4 linked regions of the Schizosaccharomyces pombe genome follow. The protein of the gene in region 3 purifies or fractionates together with the protein of the main gene of each other region. This does not show direct contact. Each region holds a gene or a part of one and is shown on either strand. Other genes may lie near its edges. The genes, in order: apc11, nuc2, cut20 and cut4.

Region 1 (3,611 bases), 2.4 Mb from region 3:
AGGTTTATCATAATGTGTTGAAAAACTTCTCTTTTCTATCTGACTACAAGGCAGATCCAAGCGAATTACCTACAAAGGAATATCATGTTTTTCACGATCACTCTGATGAAGTATGGCAAATTAGCTATTCCCATAATGGAAGATACTTGGCTTCAGCATCAAAAGATAAGACTGCCATTATATTTGACGTTGTCAATTTGAAAAGAGTTTTTCGTCTAATAGGCCATATTGATACGGTAGCATACATCAGATGGTCACCAGACGATCGTTATCTTCTCAGTTGTTCATGTGACAAGTCTGTAATTTTATGGGACGCATTTACGGGGGAAAAGTTACGTGACTATAAGCATGGGTTTTCTGTTAGTTGTTGTTGTTGGTTACCTGATGGTTTATCATTTATTACGGGATCACCAGATTGTCATATAACTCATTGGTCATTAAATGGCGAAATACTCTACAAATGGGAAGATGTCAATATTTACGATATGGCTCTTACTTCTGATGGAACTAAATTGTACATTGTAGGTTTTGAACAATTAATTAACGCCGAAGATAAACATATAGCTATTTATTCCGTTGAAACCAGAGAATGTATAAAAAAAATTTCGTTGCAGTCGAAAGTAACTTCAATTTGTTTATCAAAAGACTCGAAATATGCGTTGACAAACTTAGAACCACACACTACTTTTCTTTGGGATCTTGAAGAAAACCGAATTGTTCGTCAATACATGGGTCATAAGCTGGGGAATTTTTTAATCGGATCTTGCTTTGGAGGAAAAGATGATACTTTTGTTTTAAGTGGAAGTGAAGATGACAAAATACGTATCTGGCATAGAGAAAGTGGAAAGCTACTGGCAACATTATCAGGACATGTTAAATGCGTGAATTATGTTGCATATAATCCAGTCGACCCATATCAATTTGCGTCCGCCGGTGATGATAATACAGTACGCATCTGGTCGAATAAAGATAATCCACGTCGACAATAATGATGAGTTTTATGAGATAACAATTGACTAATGTTCATCAAACGTTGCTACTTTTTGAATAGCATTATGAATAATGAACCGTTGAAAATAGATTTTTTTGAATAGTTTTTGCTTGATATGGTGTAGTAGGGTTTTCCTGAAACTGCATGCTTCTATATTGTTACAGTAATAATTATTCGTTAACGAAAAAATGCTTCCAACTTTATCTCGTTTGTAATAATAATAATCGTGACTATTGAGTTGGATTCTTTGGAAGTCTTATTCGATACGTCAATCGTATTTATTGTGTTTCAGACTTTTCATTCGTAGAATCTGCTACCACAAAAGTTTGACGGTCCATCGGGCATTGACCTTGAGAACCGCTAGTAGCTAACCAGTTTTGAATACAGTGAGCATGAAATATATGCTTGCATTTCCCCCAAACTAGCGTAGTTAGCCTTTAATTAATTCTGTGAAAGCTGATGCCCATGATAAACTCTTTTTAACAAAAACAAAGTATGAATATTAGATTAAAGATTATTTGAACACAACCAACCCAATTGCGCAACAAATTTTCATGCTGATACCCCCTTAGGATGCAAAGTATACAAGTAAGCCTCCGCAGAGCATATTCAGGAAATAAATACAAACATATTCTTACCTATGGGGCAATTGTCTCCAGGACTTGTGCATTGAGGGCAGCATCCATCGAATGGAACACGACATATACCACAAACGTCGTCTTTTGGGGTATCCCACGTCCAGTTAGCAATTGCATGGTATCCTAGTGGTTAGAAAACAATTTTATTTCCAAAATATTCGCTTACTCAGTATTTTCACCTTCATAGTCTTTGTATATTGTATTTGAGATCTAATTAAATAAACATTAGTGTTTTTTGCTAGCTAATGTTTTACGTTCTACCACGGTATTAAGAAAACAATTCAGGCGAAAAACAAAATGTCGTAAGAAGAGAAGAGTTAGTAGATTTACAGTTGATATTTGGCTTTAGCTATACATCTTTTCGTTTTCTGAAAGTTTAAAATTTCTAACTAAAACTAATTTTCATTGGACTGTAACAAGCCGGCTACATTCGACATGCTAACAAAATTTTTATATTTATGATACTTTGCTTCTTTAGCTTATAACATATTGTTGAGCTCAAGTTTTATACTTTTTTACATGAATAATTTCAAATATTATTCAAAATAATCAAAGCGCAGAATTATGAAGAGGCAAGCCTACATACAGCTCAAATTTATAAGAAAAAAGTAGAGGTTTTGATTCATAGTGCCTCACAAATTCATCTGGGAAAATTAATGGCAATGACATGTGACTTGTCGATTCAAAGAATGAGAAGGGGGTAAAAGGCTCAAAGGAGGTGATTCATTGCCGTTTCATGGAATCGATAATACGTGTTTTGACAAACAGGCTAAAGCCGAAATATACATCCAAATCTCTAAATCTGTTCCAGAAAACCAACCAACGCCTCTTATAATGCAGTTCTAAATGCAATAGCCTGTAGAAAAAGACAAGTAGATAGGGAAACATAGAGTGTAAACGAACTATAAATCATACAGCGCTTCTTGAATAAAATCATGAAAGATTCGCAAAAAAAAAGAAATTTACTTGCAGAAGTTGCAATGATTGTGTCAAGGTTTATGTTGATTTTGTTCAATGTATTTTCGCACCAGTGATTCAACAGGTGGAAGACGAAAGCGAGGTTGACGCAAGTAACTTAAGTATGCTCTTCTAGGTCTTTTAGATAGACCATTTTCTTTGAGGACAACAATACGTTTAATTTGTGGAGAGTAAATTGGTAACAAATATTCGACTCCAACACCCATTACCACGTTTCGTAACAGGATTGAACTTTTTGGTCCACGATGCCGAATTCGCAGTAGATAACCAGCAAATCTGTTGACTGAATCTTTTGATGGGTATTTTGAGTAGCTTTCAACCAGTAAAACCGCGCCTGGTCTTACTCGATTTGGCTGCGAGCGATGAAACATTTTGAATCGCTCAGATTGCTCATCCAATACTGAACGGCACTTTTTTTCGAATAATGATAACACATCTTTGTGCTTTGGACCTGGTACTGGCTTTGGAAAGTTATAAGGCCGTTTTAACGATCCAATACCTCTCTTTTGTAGCCATTGAAAGCCCAATCCTAAATTGAAAAAGTGTTTGGCATTAAACATGTCTTCCAAAAGTCATTAAATACCGTTCGTTAGTAAGAATGACAAAACACTATATTCTACAGAGTATCTTTTTAAGTAAGTACGATGGTATTCAAAATGAATTAGCAAATTCTGCACAACGTATTTCGTTATATGTTATTTATTGTCAACCTTCCATTACGCTATATTAGACTATGTAAGTTAATACAGTTGATTATATATTTTTATATGATTTATCCATCAAGGATTGTGTTTCTGACCTTGAATGTTCAAGGCAATAGAAAGATTCCTGTTGAACCCGAATGAATATACGTGTTCCAATTCAGTTACATGGCTTCTCATTGTAGTTATAATACTATCAATAACTCGCTGGTATTCAGAAAACTTCAATAGCAAGATTTGCTTTTTTCTTTCCACCTTAATGTTCCATTTTCGTAAAAGATATTATTTTATATGCAATCAATT
Region 2 (4,806 bases), 460 kb from region 3:
CAGACAATATCATAAACCATCCCAAAATGGGCACATATCTTAGAGACTTTTTAGCAATAACAGAATAATTAGGGCCAAAAGTCCTTCCTATAGCCAAAATATCCAATTCACTAATTAAAATTGTAAGTCAGTTATTTTTTATCATAAAGAAGTATATTTTGAGGTATGCTTACGATTGATGATTAACTACTAAGACAGCAGACTTATGTTTTCTCAAAATTTCCTCGTTTTCGATTTTAAACCGAAAGTCAAGGATTGTACTAGCCAGTCCATAATATGCCTTTGCAGTTAAATATTGTCCCATTACGGGATAACCACATAAACGTGCAACAACTGAGGCTATAACCCCATAAGCAGAACTAATAGCTAAAAATGTGTGACATGCGAAATAGCGAAAGTGATATCTAATACATTTCGGGAGAGTAAAAAATCGGTTGATTCCGCACAAACCAACAAATACTGTCACAGTAGCAAGCAGCGTGCTCTTAATAAAACCCATTTCGAATATGTACACAGTAGAGAAGAGCAAACTTTCAACAACCCTTCCTTTCGTTTTAAAGTATGGTTGGTGCGGTGATAGTAACGTTGGTGATTCGTAATAAAAATGAATGGCCTGAGGACATTTCATTAATTGCACACTTTAAACTTAAGTTATACCCACGGTGATTTTATACACAATTTTTTTTATCATTGGTTATTAATGATATCTATTATACCTTTATTTTAATATATAACTTCTAAACGAAAATCATCATTTTTAAACCTAACCAGAATGAAGACGTAAACATTCTAACTCATTAACTTATTCATTCGACAATTTTTTGGCATCCCTAAAATACAAGACATAATTTCTTAAGTTTCCAGATTCCTATAAATTTCACCTGTTTCAGTTAACAAATTTTCTTCGGGAATATCCAGATTTTCAATCGATTCCTTAATAATATGCGTAGCCTTGCCGTCTAAGTTCCATGCTATAGTGAAGTGCTTTAAGGCTAAATTTTTTTTCCGCATTTGCTTGAAAATTTTGCCGAGCAAAAAATGAACATTTGCTTCATCTGGCGCAATTGCCTTTAATTGTTCCAATTCAACGAGTGCTTTATCGTGATCATGTAATAAAATAAGCACTTTGGCTTTCTTGAACCTGGCAAGCGAAGACTTTTCATCCAGTTTACATGCCCGATCATAAAAATCAAGTGCTTTTTTGTAATCTTTGCAGCGTTCGTAAATCATACCAATACAAGTGATGAGTACAGAGTTGTTAGGATTGATCTCTGCAGCACGTTGAAAATGAAAGTCTGCTTGATCATTTCGCCCTGTTTTTAAATAAACCATTCCCAGGCCATACCATGCATTGTAATGTCGAACATTTACTCTAATTGCTTTGCGGAAAGATGTTTTCGATTTTTCGTATTCTTCGTTTGCAGAATGCTCGTGCCCTTGAAGCGTATAAGCATATTCAAAAGTTGGATCCAATTGAATAGCTCTATTAATACATTTTAATGCCTGCGAGTGTTCACGTTGAAGTGAGAAGCAATTAGCAAGAATGCACCATGATTCTGGGGAATAAGGATTAGTTTCCAAAGTTTCATGGGCAAGGTAAGATAAAGGAACAGACTTTTGCAAATGCCAAAGTGCAGTTGAAAAGACTTCCATATCTTTGACACGTGAAGGCGACAAGTCCCTTAATTTTTGAAACACTTCTTCAGATTTTTCGTAATCAACCAGTTCAAAGTAGGTTATTCCAAGCTTTGCAAGAACAAAAGGTGTATTTTGCTGTTCGATGGGCAAGCTTTGGAAACAATTTAAAGCCTCTCGTAACTTATACTGGGCGAGCAGGTAAACACCCTTACCGAATAACTTTAGTAATTCCATCAAATTATTGTCCTCTTCGCGGAAGCTTTGAGGTGTGCTCTCTCCTCTTTTAGAACTTCTCGCTTCGCGTAATTTATATGTTAAACGAGCTCCTGGTCTTAATGCTTGGGTTCTAGGTTCCACAAAGTGGGATTTTAAAGACGTATCCCTATTGTTAGAATCAGCTTTTTGAGCATCATTGAAAGCCAAAAGGTTTTTGCTAGTCTGAGATTGAGATTGTAATTTCAAGCTTTGATGTCGTTCCTTCTCACTTCCTGGAAGCTCAGAAGCGTCAACCCTATCAAACCACTTAGTAAATGCTGAAATGGATGAGTTTGAATAACTATTTGCTATCGATTCAGAAACCGAAAACTTGTTGGAAGATGAGGAAGACTCTTTACTTTTCTTCAAAAAAGACGGTTCTGGTACCGAAGCTGTAGCATTCGTTTGAGATTTTTCAAAACCCTTCATTGCCGTAAGGTAGGGTGGAATAACAAATACATTATTAGCATCGAGTGGCACGCCTATTCAGCAAAATATATTAGCACAATTATAGAAATAAACGAAAATAAGTATTTTTTTTTGACAAAAGTGAATTTACTAATTCACAACAAAACATCTGTCACATACCTATTGCAGTTAAATTCTGGAAAGCAGAGAAATTATATGGGTTAATGGAGACAGCTTCTACAAAACAATCTGTAGCTTTTTTGAGGAACCCTGCCTTTTTATACATAGTACCCAAAACATCAAGCATGCAAGAGGCATCTGGATGTCCACGACTGCTAATTGAGTCATTTACTAGATAACTTAGTTAGAGGTTTCGCGAAATAAATCACCACATACTGTTTGGCTGAATGGAGCGCCAATTCGATCGACAGGCCTCCACAGCACTTATTCCTTGTTTATATCTGCCTAAAATAAGGCTGGTCCTTGCAAATAAGTATGTGCAAGGAACATGACTAATTACTCTATCTAATAAGTCGTATACAATATTGTAATCGAGGTTTAGGAAATGCGAATATGCCAAAAGATACAAACTCTCGTTTGAATCTTCAATTGCATGTAAACGTTCTGAATAAAAAATTGAATTATCATAATTCTGATTATCAATGCAATACCATATTAAACATTTCAATCGATCTGTCATGACAAATCTATTAAAGTTTTGGAAACGATGGGAGTTAATGTCAACAAAAACATGTGGGTACAAACAGGTGGTTGTTATTGTTTGAGCTCCATCGTTAAGATATGTTAAATCTTATAAAGCAATGTAGCATTTTAGTAAAAAAAACATATAAACAAAAATAGGTAAATCATCTGGATGGTGTATAGAGTTGTGTAAACTCTGATAAATCCAAAAAGAGTTTGGGTAAATTATCAGAGAATAAAAAAACACTACTAATGCAACTCGATCCAAGCATTAAGGGAGACAGGCAAAGGAGGCATCACGGTCTAAAACAATGCGATGATACATGTTAATAAAAAAAAATTACAAGTCGTTCAATGTCTCCCAATTTAGATCCATTATTACGCAGTCTTGTGGAAAGGCGACACTGACGTAAAAAGTACTAGAGTGAAGTATTAGTTTATGAATTTCCAAGTCCCAAGAATATCCTGAATACACTGCAGTTGCTGCTCTTCTTAAAGACACTTCCTCGGAATTTAACAGCTCATTTAATTTATGAAATGTTACCACAATATCCAAAGGGTTTCCACTTAATCCGATACCGAGTGCTTTCAAAATCGCTTCTTTGCAAGTCCAGAGCAAAAAAAAAACATCAATACTAGAAATTGAACTTTTAATCAACTTCCATTCGCAAGGAGTAAATACACTCATGAAATCTTCCATCCATGATGCTTCAAAAGCTAACGGTTTACATTCGACGATGTCAACTCCAATATTGATCGGTCGCATTCCTGAAGGATCTGATGGAAGCCATGCTCCTACTACAATTACGATTCCCCCATAGTGGGATACATTAAAGTCAAATATAATAGGAGGACAGTGTGCTGATTGGCAATACGGTCTCCCGGCTTTTGTGACAGAAATTTGTACTTCATTTGGTGAACATTCGAGAGCCGTGGAGACTAAGTGCCTTTTAATAAGTATAGAAGCCAATGCCATTTTAGCATCCATGTCGAAATAGTACCTCTCAATTTGTTGTCGCTCAGAATCGCTCAGTTTTTTAAAACTGGGTATCCTCTAACGTATTAGAAAAATTGTTTAGATAAAACTAAAAACATACAGTTCTTTCAAAAGGCCATGCTTCTTGAGTATCTATTAATAACCTATATACTTTTTGTTTCATATATTGCTATTTAAATCGAATGAAATACTCTTCAATGAGAAACTACAATAAACAATGCCAGAATTTCCAGGAAACACAAAAACAAGAATCACTCATAAACTCGAAACCAACCAGAAGAAGAGTATAATTTCGTTAGAAGGCAATCAAGATAATTTCTACCAATAAATAGTAACATGAATTATGAAGCGTGACATTAACGCAAGTCGACAGTACTTTCCGAAAAAATATATTTTTTGTTCTACCTTGGAGAACAGCTTTTCTTTAATTTGCGAATATCTATTAACAGTCATAAAACGTGTTTATCGCAGAAGATTTAATTTCGTTAAATTTACTGATAGAACGTAAGCGGCACAATTTGAAGAGTTTGCTGCTTCGTTCTATTGCTTCTCTTGACCACCACCACTAACCCAACCACTTCAGTTGAAAATTTATTATCAACTCATCTGGAGGGTATTTTAATATTTAACGGAATACAGAACGTTACATTTGTTTGTCTTGTTCCGTTCCAATAATAATCTATAATTGGTGTTCTTTCTTTCAGTAGAAATAGGAAGAAAAGAACTCGGTTGTTGTATATAAAACAAACGAACTAATTTAAGGTTTTAATATTCGGTGGTCTCTTCAGTTTTATTACTTTGAATAA
Region 3 (5,117 bases):
AGCTTTATGAGCTTCAAGTGGTGAAGATATTGTTAGGTTAGCCTCTGAATCTCGATTTAGTACGTAAACCAGCTTATTTTTCTCCACAGATGCAATCATAGCGGCCCTCCCCTTCGCATCTATGGCTAAGTATTCACCAGGAACAACTCTTCGAATTCCTGATTTTCCAAAAGTTTCCTGGTATATTGGCACTAATTTATTTTTTTCAACGTTATATTCCAAAATGGTTATTCGTCCTGAATCCGACGTGACTACGAGATAATCGCGTTTAAAACCAGTTAATCTCAAAGGAGCAACATTTCGAATAATACCAAAACAATTTTGATTTAAAATACAATTCATTCTCCCATCAGTTGCATCAACTTTATATATAAGCAACCTTGATTCTGTAGCAATTACTATCTCCTGTGCCTTTTTACCAGACAAGGACGCGGCACACGAACTTTGAACATAATTACTATTCTGTATTGTTAAGGAATATAGAAACAGAGAAGGGAAGGTGTCCATCTCTATACTTTAGCTGAAACACGATCCTCGCTGAGAGAAGAAGTCAGTGTATCAAGGAAACTTATAGCAGAAGGTAAAAAACTTCGTTATATGTTGACTTTTCTAAATGAAGTTATTGCAATTGAAAATATTGTATAAATTTTCTGCTTTTAAATTATATTAAAGAATTAAAAAAAAGAAAAGAAAATTTAAAAGACCGCTACAAAAAATGTAACTTGCTCTTCAAAAACAAGAAAAAAAAAACATTACGACCATTAAACATAAGCTCATTAAAAAGAGAATAAACGATATCTCGAAGATTCCCTTGAAATAAGGACTCCGTAATCGCTATTCTCAGAAAGGGCATATTCGAGTGTTGAAGGAAGGAAATCCTTCTCAAATTCATGCAGCCATAGGCAACTGTTTAGTGGAATGAAAGGAAGATGACTGATAGCATCAAGGTAACTGTTTTTTTGCTGGTGCTCAAAAAAGGTTAAGGGAACGTCTGCTAAGCAAATTTCACATAAGAAGCACTTCTCCTTTAGTTTTCCAAGTATTAAAATACTACTTCCGTTTAAAAGCTTCATGTCTAAAACAGTTGCGGGCTGGAAATCCAACAGACTGCTTCCTAGTAATTCTGCATAATCCAAGCCAAAGTGGCATCCAGATACAGGCAACATAGTATTTTCCATAAGTTGGGAAATTATTAAGAATATATTCGGAGTATCCTTTCGAAAGAATAATGAAAATAATTGGTTTTTTTCATTACAGGATTTTGGTATAAGAGATGATACATTCCAATCAGTCCCTTCAAACAAAACAAGGTCTCCGGTTTTTAACCATTGCTTTTGACAAGTTAAAGAAGGGTAGCTAAAAATGACGTTGAATGAGTCTCTTAAAGATTCTTTCAAGGTTTTGAATGATACGAAATCATCAACAGAATTACTGTCGTCTTGATTTGCAAAATCCTTGAGAGAATAATAATCAGGATCTCTTAGCTGAAGGGGTTTTGTGCCCATAAAGTAACTTGTTAGTTTCGAGCGGAATAAAGAATGACGAATATAAATTACGGTTTCATTAATATGTTCAATAATCTCTTGCGGTGGAATAGAAGATGGTTCAGAAGTATTAAACTCGACGATAGCGTAATTCAACCATGAAATAAAGTGCTTCATATACTTTTTTTCCTCAAAAAGGCAATTGAGAAACGAAAAAACATTATTCTGTAAATAACCCAAAGTTGCTAGACAATCTTCCACCAATTTAGCATCTAGTAATGTGTTTCCCTTCATATGGCCCCATATTGACTTTCCTCTGGCAGAAGATAATAATACAGTTAACCTTTCACAAGCAGGTATTACGAATTCCTGACAGAAAATGATTAAGGACGTGTACGAATTCACCATCGCCCGTTCCCAATTTTTTAGTACTCGATCACCGACTCTTTCGTTGATCCATTCTTTGAGTAAGTCGCTGGGTATACCGTTCATTATAAATTGATATAACTCTAGTTGTAAAGAAAAGAAAGTTGTGTCACTGTACTTGGACACTAAAGCATCAAAGGTTTTAATAAAGCTAGCTTCTGATTTGAAGACATTGTCAAATTCTTCATACATAGCATTCAATACCTCCTCAAGATATCTTACCAAATGTTGCATACGTGTAGACATTGTTGCAATATCCACAATACTTCCCAAATCATTTTTAAGTAATGGCATATAAAGTGTTTTCAAAGAAATATTCGTTCCTCCTTTACAAATAAGAACATGATATGCTAAGTCGTTGGTTATGCTGTGTGAAATGGGAACCCCCTATAATTTGTGTGAGCAAGACATTTAATAACATGGGTATAATACCAAGTTCAAGGCTGATTTCAAAGAATCGCTTTCTCCGATTTTGTAAGACGAAAACATACTATGAATAGTTAGTACTTCTAATTTGTATCGATCGATAAAAAAACTTCTTTTAGAAAGATGCTAATAAATAAGGGGTTTTTGATACGCACTTTATGTATCTAATTCCACGTTCATCCAAAATACTTAAGAGCTCAACTTTTTTGTTATTTTCACCCTCTCGTTTCCTCGGCTCAAAAAATTGTGCGATTGCTTTTGAAGAAAATATACGTTCCCTAAAAAATGTAAGAGACAAGTCGCTTTGTGTTACTACTTACTCTTTTGCCGAACTAGGAAGTGTACCAAGTAAAGGCATATATGCAGTGGCATCAAATAAAAAATCATTGCGTTTTTCATTTACTATCGTTTCTTGCATGGCCCATGTTATCATTAGAACCGCTAAATCTCTGGAAGCTGGCCTTTGCTCAACCAGATGTCCTGTGGAGGAATCAATAATTTTAAGCTCTCCATTTTTAAATCCAACAACTATTAAATTCCCTATTTATGTTAATGATACAAAAAAAGTTTTCCAGTCGAGCCACGTACCATCGTGATTCCAACACAATTCAGTAGCCTCGAGATCATGAAAATCGACATCCCAAATTCTTTGACTGTTACTTCTACAGCAAATCAAATGATTTGAACACGTTAATATCGCAATGAGTTCCATAGAAGGGCATAAGATTACTCGTTTAAGGCCACTTCCAACCCTTTCAACTCTATTAGTTTCATTAATCCATTCAAATTTATGCTTTTTAGGGTATTTGAAAGATTTTGACACCATTTGGATAAGACTGGATGATTTTGGTGATTCGTAGAAGTTTGTTTATTGTAGTACAGCAAGTCAATAAAAGCCTGTTCAGGTATATAAAATATCTAGTGAATGGATAGTTTCAACAATTATCATACAACCTTTTTAAATTTGCTAGCATAGATGGTTTATTAGGAAGTAAGACTGATATTGCAAAACTGAAGTTGATGAAAGTTGTAGGGATACAAAACATTAAGAAAGCGATTATCCAACTGTGCATACCTCGTTAGTACGATGTTTATTTACATCTAAAGAAAAATCATTTCCTCATGGTTCAAGTTCGCTTAAAATAATTCTTTAATGATAAAAATTTCAATTGAGTTTGGCAATAAGAGATTCACTTTTAATAATTGCTGATTGCTATGTTTTAAATACATTGTAAATAAACCAATATTATTCATTAATTCAATAGCTGAAATTCTAGAATCGTTAAAAAAGTCTTTCTTTTACGCATTATATATCTTTTAATCGAAGGAGATGCCTCATAGTTGGCCTTCCATGAGGGCAATTCCAAGGCTTGCTCAACTCAGCAAGATGCCTAACTATTGTATTCATTTCGGATATAGTTAGAGCCCTACCAATCATGACACTGCTTCTACAAGCCTTTGAAGCAAGCATTCGCTCAAGCCTACTACTAAATGGGTCTATCTGTGGGTGCTCAGACAACACACTGATGATCTCTAGTAAATCTACAGAAGTTAAAGGTCAAGATCTTCGTTAATAAACTTACCACTAGTGTCAAAAATGACATTCTTACTCGTGGGAACTGAAAGAAGAGTGCAGCGATTACCAACTCGCTGATTTAAATCTATAGCAACGCCGAATCCTTTTCTTCGAATTAAATCTATATGGTCAATTAAAACAGTTTCCTCTGTAGCAGCTAAATCCAGTCTTTTTGGAAGGACTAAGTCTTGGCTGTTGATAACTAAATTACTTTTGAGATGTTCATAGTTGAACTTTTCATCGCTGGCATGTTGATCAATTATAAACAAATTGTTTCCATGAACAACCACTATGAATCCTCTATTGAATTGACCAACAACCCTCATTCTTAAAAAATCGGCTTTATGTACAGTTAGATTCAAATGATCTTCCTGATTTTCATCTGAAATATCATGCACCACGCCAATCTTGTTCGAAAATTTCAGTAAGGCATCGCTTCGAACAATATCTTTTTGCACTCCACTCAAAGATATATTTATTTTTTTACTAAACTTGTTTAAACCATCCAAGGGCCTAGATTGAAAAAATTTGAGCTTTTGTAGCGCTGCAGTTTTTGACGGAATTCTGTTCGCAACACTGGTTTGCTCAGTACGAGGAATGCTCGAGAGTGTGGAAACTGATTCTGCGTTGTGTACCGACTCAATCTCGTTTAAATTAATTGTTTTAGCAACAGGTGTTGATGCTGGACTTGGATCATTTAGTAACAAATTGTTAGGATTCGAGCTAGGTTTATTGATGGGTTGCTTTAGTGGGAAACTAGAGTCTATTGTTTTCTGCATAGAAGTATCAGTACTAGAAGCGAATAGGGCAAGCTTTTTCTTCATTCTTTCGGAAGAGGCCGTAACTTTTTCGTTTAATGGGCTACTTCGTCTCATAGAATCCTTTTGCAAACGCTCTGGCAAAGGTTTGGATACTTGTGCTAATGACGCTCCTTCTGCAACACTAGTGGATATTGCTGGTTGAGCAGTAGCTTCTACGAGCTTTCTTTTACATGGTGAGCGTTTATAAGAAAAACTTGAGTCATCACTTGTTTCGGATTCTGTTGCTGGAATTGACTGAGGCAATTCCTGATCTGTACTGTCTCCAGAGGAATCAGGAATTTGCGAGGAATATGAAAAAATGGATTGCGATCTGGAACAAGAAATTGCATGTCCGCAGCTTTCACATAGGTTTTGCAAGGAGTTTTTAATAAATTCAATTATGGA
Region 4 (7,287 bases), on a different chromosome or scaffold from region 3:
GTTCTATAACTTCTGGTGGATCAATCGCAATCATTTTTCATTTCAAAGAATTACTAATTGGGTCTATAGAAAAATCATTTCTTTTTATTTCAGACTATTTTGTTTGTCATTGAATTTCCTACATTAGCTGCTCTGGTTTATTGTATCATTAACTTTTAACATAAAGAACCTCAACAAGTCATGCTAATTTGACATTATAGAATGTAAGTATATTAAATTATGATAAACTATTTATTGCAAAAGCAGGATGGATAGTACATTATAGAGCATAGAAATTGTTGCAAAGAAATCCACAGTTTATTATCTAAGATATTTACTTTATGGAGATATTAATTTAGAAGGCTCATAGCCGTATTTTTTTGCATTATAAGCCATTTGTTTCACTGGCTTTATATAGTCAATATGCGACTCATAAATTCATTAGAGTTATTCTCTCGCGAAAAATCATTGAAATGTGGGGCCTGATCATTGTTGTAGATTTAAGCAACATATAACCGAAGCTAATGAGAACAAATTGAAGCAGAGTTTTTCTGAATACCAAATACATTTTTGATACTCCAGGGTTGCAGAGTTTTTGCCTTCAGAGCCCATTGCAAGTATGTTCGGTTTCTAAGGGTTTCCTCACTTCATACATAGTTAGATTTGTTCCTCAATTCTTAATTTTTCGCTGACTTCGTGACGCTTTCTACTATAATCATGTTACAAACTAATATATAAACAAACTAGTGACCTTTAGGATTAAACGAGAGGCAAGCACAAACCACTTGTTCCATTCAAGTTACTGCAATATTTTTATGGAAGATATTAGAAAATTAGCAGAATACTCACCAAGTTTGTCACAATGCAAGACGATGGCAAAAGATCCTTAAGCTCATTCCATATTAAAAATGTCGTAAGTTAGTAAAATTTAAAAATAGTCAAGTCCTTCATTTTGAAGTTTTTTGTTTATTACTCGACCAAAAACAAATTGCCTTGCAATCGTTACCTTTTATGCTTTAGCACCTATAATTATCCTGTAGACAGAAATTACCTTTTATATAGCAAACATTATTATACCCAAATAATATTTAACATTGAAATCTTCATAAATAAATGAATAAAGTATGGTAAAATATTATTTACATCCCCCTATACAGCTATATGGCTCAACCTTTATACAGTAATAAAATGTCTAAGTAGTCCTGCATGTTATGATAGAAACACCCAAAGCCTTCACTCTAAACTTCAAGGAATTTACTGCTTGCTTTTGTCGTACACACTCCTATAGTAAGGCATCTTATATTCCATATGGATCCTCGACACTGGGGATGTAAGTACTGACTTGTAGTTTGAAATGGCAAGTCGGTCGTCTATATCGACATGATTTTATAACTAAATTCCTGTAAAAAAGAGAAACAAAAATGATATTTTAATGCATAAAACAATTTCCCGTTAGAGTATTTTTAATTATCAGTATTCCAAAAAAAAGATTTCTAGTCTTCAAATAAACCAATGCGTGATAAATACTGGAATTGGGGAATATAAAGATCCAAGTTAAATTTAATTGATTTTGTAAAAGCACTAAGTTCTGTAGGTTGACTTTTTAATTGTCTAGCTAACGTAAGTTTGGTAAGAGATGCTGGTTTGTTTACACTAGATATACGCTGACACTCAGATTTCACCTACAACTTCATGCTAAAAAGGAAATGCGAAATTGTAAACGGAACTGAGTTATTGATTATCGTTACTAGATGCTGAAATGCTAGAATTAAAAACAAATGTTATTCAAGACCCTGAATTAAAGGATTCATTAGATTTGCAAGAGAATGATCGGGTTGAAATCATTGGAGATGCTGTGCATTATATTGTGAATGACCATTTAAATCGTGTATTTAATTATACCGTAGATCAACAAAAGATACATGCTGCCCTTATTACTACATTTGCATCTGGAAAAAAGGCAATTGTTGTGATTCTGGACGACATTGGATATGTATACTATGTGGGCGACAATAATAATGATTCTTATATTATAAACGTTCCTTTTTCAACAGAAAGCGCATGGAGTTCACCAAGTGGACTATATCTTCAGCGTCATCGTTCGAGCGATGAGAATCTGAATACTGACTTGCCTCATATTTTTTGTCTAAACGATCCTTTAGATGAACTTACGTTAATAAAATTTGACGGAAAAAAAATACTATCTCTGTTTGATTCAATCGTTTATGTCGTGGGAGAGATCGTCGTAACACATAATAAAAAAGAAAAAAAATTGAGTTTTTGGAGGAGTCGCTTTATTGATCCAGAGTCAGACCAGTCAATAAAAAGCTCACGTAACAGAAGAAGGGAAAGCTCTTTTTCTCGTGAAAAGAATCCTGACTTAACTCGCTCTGATTCTATCCATTATACCGCCAATACTCGTCTTTCTGAAAAATTCGAGGAACAAGGACTCGCTTATTCGACCATATTTTCTCACATAGAGTCTTTTCCTATCACCGGAAGTACTTCGTTTGATTCAATCCTTGGAAATGGTGTTTTGGTCATCACCACTTTAGTGAAAGAGCTTGAAAAAGGCTACATGATGTTGTTTCGCCTTGTTCGTGACAGATCTCCTTACTTCTTAGATTCGCTTCAACTACATGCAATAAATTTGAGTGCTATTAAATCTAAGCATTTGCAAAAAATTGTTGTTCTGTCTTCAAAGGGGAAGGTGAGTCTCGAGTCTCCAATGTCGCCATCTTTGCCTATTGAGGGTACCTTTCGTTCATTTCGTGTGCATGGTGCCACACTTTACTTAGAGGACACCGATGGAGTGCAGAGGTATATATCTCTAGATAACAGAGCATCCAATAGCTTGGTAAAATGGTGTTTAAGTGTTATTCGTTATGTTTTGCCCTTGCGTGAATATGAAATTTTTTATACTGGACATCTTTACGCGCTTTTTGCTTTTAAGCTTAGCCATGATGAGGCTTTCATATCTTCAATACTCGCCTGTTTCACTTTCTTTTCTCGAGATAAAGTTCATGTTGAACCAATTGAAGATTGCAATGAAGCTTACAGTCTGTCCTCTAAGTTTCATTTTAAAAAAGAAATACTTATTGCTTCTCAGCTCTCATCTCATCTTGATTACTCAACATTCAAAAATTACTTGATGCCCTTAGCTATTACCTTACATTTTATATCTGAAGAATTGCGGTTGGATTCGGTTGTAAAGCCTCGTAAAGATCAGCTTGTAGCTTTATTACTTCAAATCACCACGTGGTTGAAGTGGCCACGGTATTGCGAGTATTATAACTTTGATATCGCTGAAACATTTCTATCTATACCCTTATCGATTCAAGTTGATGTTGAGGAACCTGTTGGTCCAACATCGATTTTACAGTGGATTATTGAATGTTTAAGGTCGCAATCTACAGTACCTTTTTATGGCTTGGAAAGTTATGGGCTACCACATTCTTGCTCTACTATGTTTCCCCAAACCCTTTCTTTAATGCAGTTACTCGATTGCTTGCTAAATCCTAATATGACCCTTCAAAACTTAGTTGAAGAAATGGTACGGTTAGGAATTTCAAGAAAGAGGTGTGAAAGATACCCATTTGGAATTTTATGCATTATTTTTACAGTACTCGAGATTGCCGCTGAAGAGTATTCTCCGAATTGGGAAAGCGAAGAGCTTCGATTAGTCAATCGCCTTGACGTTGATTCATTCTTACATCCAAAGACACCTAAATGGGTTTTTAATAAGCAGGATCAAGAAGTCAAAGAAATAAAAGCACTCACTAGTACAGTTACCGATTCTACACTTGTTGACACGCAGTCGTTTCATCCTTATAAGGTTGTAACGGATATGATTTTTAGAGAGGATCGACGACTGGCAGAAGTGAATAAACTTTTAAATTATTCAAGTCAAATCACCATAATGACTGAACACTTTGATGTCGACTTGAGTTCAGTACCAATGCAACAAAAAGTTGCTCAATGCATTTGCGTTAGAACATTGTCCGTGCCAATTGGAGCGGGTATGCTTACGTATGGTAGTAAAAATCCTTTACCTACGGAAAAGGTCACTCCACGATTATTTAATTTTACATTGCACTTGCATCCTGGAACTTTAATTATACAACCTAATAAAGAGTTCGTAACACAGGAATTAACCGAGTGGCCAGAGTTTAATGTTGGCGTTGCATTAGGATTATCGATATCTAAGTTTTCAAAGGAAATAAACACTAGTTGGATTATGTTCAATCGACCTGAAACTTTGACTGCTTACCATGCGGGATTTCTTTTTGGTCTAGGGCTAAACGGTCATTTAAAGGCCCTTGCTACCTGGCATTCTTTTATTTATCTTACTAGCAAGCATGATACAACCAGTATAGGCCTTTTACTTGGACTTGCATCCTCGTATTTGGGGAGTATGGATGCAAAGGTTACAAAATTGCTAAGTGTGCACATTTCAGCATTACTGCCAGTTGGATCTAATGAATTGAATATTTCACCATTAACTCAGACTGCAGGAATTCTAGGAATTGGTTTATTATTTCATGATTCGTGTCATAGACGCATGTCTGAAGTGACCATGGAAGAGATTTTGGCTTCTAATGAAAGCGAACTAAAGAATGAAGGCTATAAGTTAGCTGCTGGATTTTCTCTTGGTTTAATTAATTTAGGGAGAGGATCTAATCTTCCAGGCATGTCTGATTTAAAACTCGTTTCAAGGCTACAAGTGGGAATATCTAGTCAGGCTACATTTCAGTCTTTAGAAGCCGGTTCTCCCGGGGCCATTATGGCTTTGACTATGATATATATGAAGACTAATGATTTGGAAGTTGCGAAAAAAATTGATATTCCTAAATCGCGATATCTTCTTGATTTCTATCGTCCAGATCTAATACTTTTGCGAGTTGCCGGTAAAAACTTAATTATGTGGGATGAAGTCAAAGCAGATTATGAATGGGTGAAATATCAAATTCCTGATATAATGCTCTCACAATTTGATTTACAGGAAAAAAAGGTTCTCTCTTCTGACGACTTGCTGCTTTATAATGTCTTAGCAGGGATTTGTTTTTCTTTAGGTTTAAGGTTTGCTGGAACGGGTAATCCGAAAGCCAAGGAAATTCTCATCAACTTTTTAGATAGCTTCATTCGGTTGTGTCATCTGCCTGCTAAAACACACGATGAAAGAGTAACTGCAGTGACTGTAATTCGCTGTACACAAATTGTCGCTTTGTCTTCTTCTTGTGTTATGGCGGGTTATTGTGATCTAGATGTTTTGAGAAGGTTAAGAGTACTACATGGGAGAATGGAGCCTGTGAACTACGGGGCTCAAATGGCTACTCATATGGCGCTCGGAATTCTTTCGCTAGGTGGAGGAAGGTATAGTTTGTCTCGCAGTAATTTAGCAATCGCGGCTTTGTTAATATCATTTTATCCGCAATTTCCCAGGACTACTCAAGATAATCGTGCACATTTGCAAGCTGCTCGAAATTTGTGGGCTTTAGCTGTGGAAGAACGTTGTATTATCCCGAGAAATCAAGATACCAAACAGCCATGCATAGTGCCATTAAATGTTGTTCAAAAAAGCGGCGCAGTTCAAAAACTAGAAGCGCCTATACTTTTGCCGCCGTACGATAGCATTAGTTCAGTGTCGACGTTGGGTGATAAGTATTGGAATTTAAAAATTGATTTGGACAATAACAGTGATTACCGTGAACTATTAAGGGAATCACAAACACTGACACTGATGCCTTATGACCGAACAAGTTCAAAAGAAGAGCCACTTAATCTATTCCCTAAGCTTAAAGATACCTCAAGCCCACTTTGGAACTTGGTAAAAACAAGCAGGTTGTTCCAAAGCTCGAATAGCCCCTTAAACGTTGCATCGTTACAAGAATCAAATAATAAAACTTCTCTAGGCGTTAAATTACTCCTGTCTATGGACTTTGATAATTTAACTAGAGACCGTTTATTAAGTTTGCAAATACTGTTACAATTTTTTGAGTCTTGTTGGACTGGTGTGCTCTTGAATAAGTTTCACTCCCGTCAATATCTTTTCCTTTCTCGTGATTTGGTAGAAGATTTGAGTTTGAGAGTATGGGAGTATGTGTATTCTCATAATCATAATGAAGAATCTGTATAATTATGAACTACGTTTATTAATTATATGATATGCTAATGGGCTGAATGGTTTCCAAAAATCTTTTCCATCATATCAATCCTTCAAAAGGAAAATTGAAGTTTAAAAAAATAGAACCCCTTAAAATTAACGACTTGTATAAATACCTTAATGTCTCAATTAATATACAAGGTGGCATATCCAATGCAACACTTTTTTCACGATCATGATTAATAGCTATCTTCAAATAATGGTTTGTTAAAAGGAAATCGAAGTTAATAATAAATTGTTAATTGGAATACTGATGCTCAAACTATTTCACTGGGCAAAGTAAAAAGAATATTATTGCGACAACTACTAAGCACCCATGGTTCTTCAAGGGGTAATACCGCCTGTCTCAAGGCGCCGTTGAAAATAGATTAGCTTTTTTATCCTTTTTCTATATCTTTTCCCTCCTTTCGTTAATTAATTGATTTAAGCATGACACTTCGAGCTACTAACTAACACTATATCGTTGTATGCTGTTTACATAAGTTCTTGATGTTCGAATCTATGACTTTCGAGTAACGGTTCCAAATATTATAATTTAATGAATTACACCCGATAATTAATACACTGTATTAAACCATCTAAATCCACCTGACGAATTCAATCTTAAAATTTAAATAGAAGTCTTTAAATCCGACATGCACTGAGATGCTGAAGTTTTGTAACGATCTACATTAAATTCCCCTATTATAATTTACGTACGATTATTCGCCTCATTAAAAATTCCTTCGTTTTTGAGGGGTAGTAAGGGCATGACTTCAACCTTGCATCCTATGACACAACACTTCTTTCGTTAGCAAAACACAAATTGAAGCTTGCGAACGCATAGGAAGTGTGAATAGCTCGTTTCTCGAAAGCCGCTAATTCTACAAAAGCTTTCTGTATCAAAAAGACTTGTAGTTTTACTTAATACACCTTTGGTTCTGCGCTAAGAGTGAAAGGCTCAGTATTGTTGTGAAAACCGTGAATCTGTAACGTCGGTTTATGTTAATTTGTATTTTTGAACGCTTGCTATAACTATTGTTATCTATTTTTGTCTGCTATAGATTATCTTTGAAGGACTCAGAGTCGATTTAGCTTATCTTCTTATTTTTTGTCTCAGGTGTATCGAATTATCGTTCGTGTTCATTTGTACTTTTGGAATAACA

What was found.
Region 1: the proteins of cut20 (region 3) and apc11 purify together in Schizosaccharomyces pombe (affinity purification with mass spectrometry, with the first as the bait; 4 studies listed by BioGRID). This does not show direct contact.
Region 2: the proteins of cut20 (region 3) and nuc2 purify together in Schizosaccharomyces pombe (affinity purification with mass spectrometry; 6 studies listed by BioGRID, with this or other methods). This does not show direct contact.
Region 4: the proteins of cut20 (region 3) and cut4 purify together in Schizosaccharomyces pombe (affinity purification with mass spectrometry; 5 studies listed by BioGRID, with this or other methods). This does not show direct contact.

What each region holds. Positions count from the first base shown.
Region 1 is NC_003424.3:1,641,311-1,644,921, reverse strand, and holds apc11 (anaphase-promoting complex ubiquitin -protein ligase E3 subunit Apc11), read right to left. Parts: upstream 1,842-3,611; 5' UTR 1,815-1,841; coding exon 1,796-1,814; intron 1,753-1,795; coding exon 1,630-1,752; intron 1,413-1,629; coding exon 1,270-1,412; 3' UTR 990-1,269; downstream 1-989. Other genes in the region: gid7 (WD repeat-containing protein), read left to right, coding at 1-989; img1 (mitochondrial 54S ribosomal protein bL19m), read right to left, coding at 2,619-3,167. UniProt on the Schizosaccharomyces pombe protein: Component of the anaphase-promoting complex/cyclosome (APC/C), a cell cycle-regulated E3 ubiquitin-protein ligase complex that controls progression through mitosis and the G1 phase of the cell cycle.
Region 2 is NC_003424.3:4,496,327-4,501,132, reverse strand, and holds nuc2 (anaphase-promoting complex TPR lobe subcomplex subunit Apc3), read right to left. Parts: upstream 3,038-4,806; 5' UTR 3,002-3,037; coding exon 2,698-3,001; intron 2,653-2,697; coding exon 2,482-2,652; intron 2,376-2,481; coding exon 853-2,375; 3' UTR 552-852; downstream 1-551. Other genes in the region: 1-acylglycerol-3-phosphate O-acyltransferase Slc1, read right to left, coding at 1-110, 174-499; alpha-aminoadipate reductase phosphopantetheinyl transferase Lys7, read right to left, coding at 3,344-4,057, 4,101-4,163. UniProt on the Schizosaccharomyces pombe protein: Component of the anaphase-promoting complex/cyclosome (APC/C), a cell cycle-regulated E3 ubiquitin-protein ligase complex that controls progression through mitosis and the G1 phase of the cell cycle.
Region 3 is NC_003424.3:4,041,258-4,046,374, forward strand, and holds cut20 (anaphase-promoting complex platform subcomplex scaffold WD repeat subunit Apc4/Cut20), read right to left. Parts: upstream 3,368-5,117; 5' UTR 3,163-3,367; coding exon 2,925-3,162; exon of another isoform or gene 2,877-2,924; coding exon 2,657-2,876; exon of another isoform or gene 2,615-2,656; coding exon 2,492-2,614; exon of another isoform or gene 2,472-2,491; intron 2,401-2,471; coding exon 2,343-2,400; intron 2,317-2,342; exon of another isoform or gene 2,298-2,316; coding exon 777-2,297; 3' UTR 552-776; downstream 1-551. Other genes in the region: prp12 (U2 snRNP-associated protein), read right to left, coding at 1-507; MutL family mismatch-repair protein Pms1, read right to left, coding at 3,643-3,878, 3,920-5,117.
Region 4 is NC_003423.3:389,251-396,537, forward strand, and holds cut4 (anaphase-promoting complex platform subcomplex scaffold subunit Apc1), read left to right. Parts: upstream 1-1,659; 5' UTR 1,660-1,738; coding exon 1,739-6,115; 3' UTR 6,116-6,787; downstream 6,788-7,287. UniProt on the Schizosaccharomyces pombe protein: Component of the anaphase-promoting complex/cyclosome (APC/C), a cell cycle-regulated E3 ubiquitin-protein ligase complex that controls progression through mitosis and the G1 phase of the cell cycle.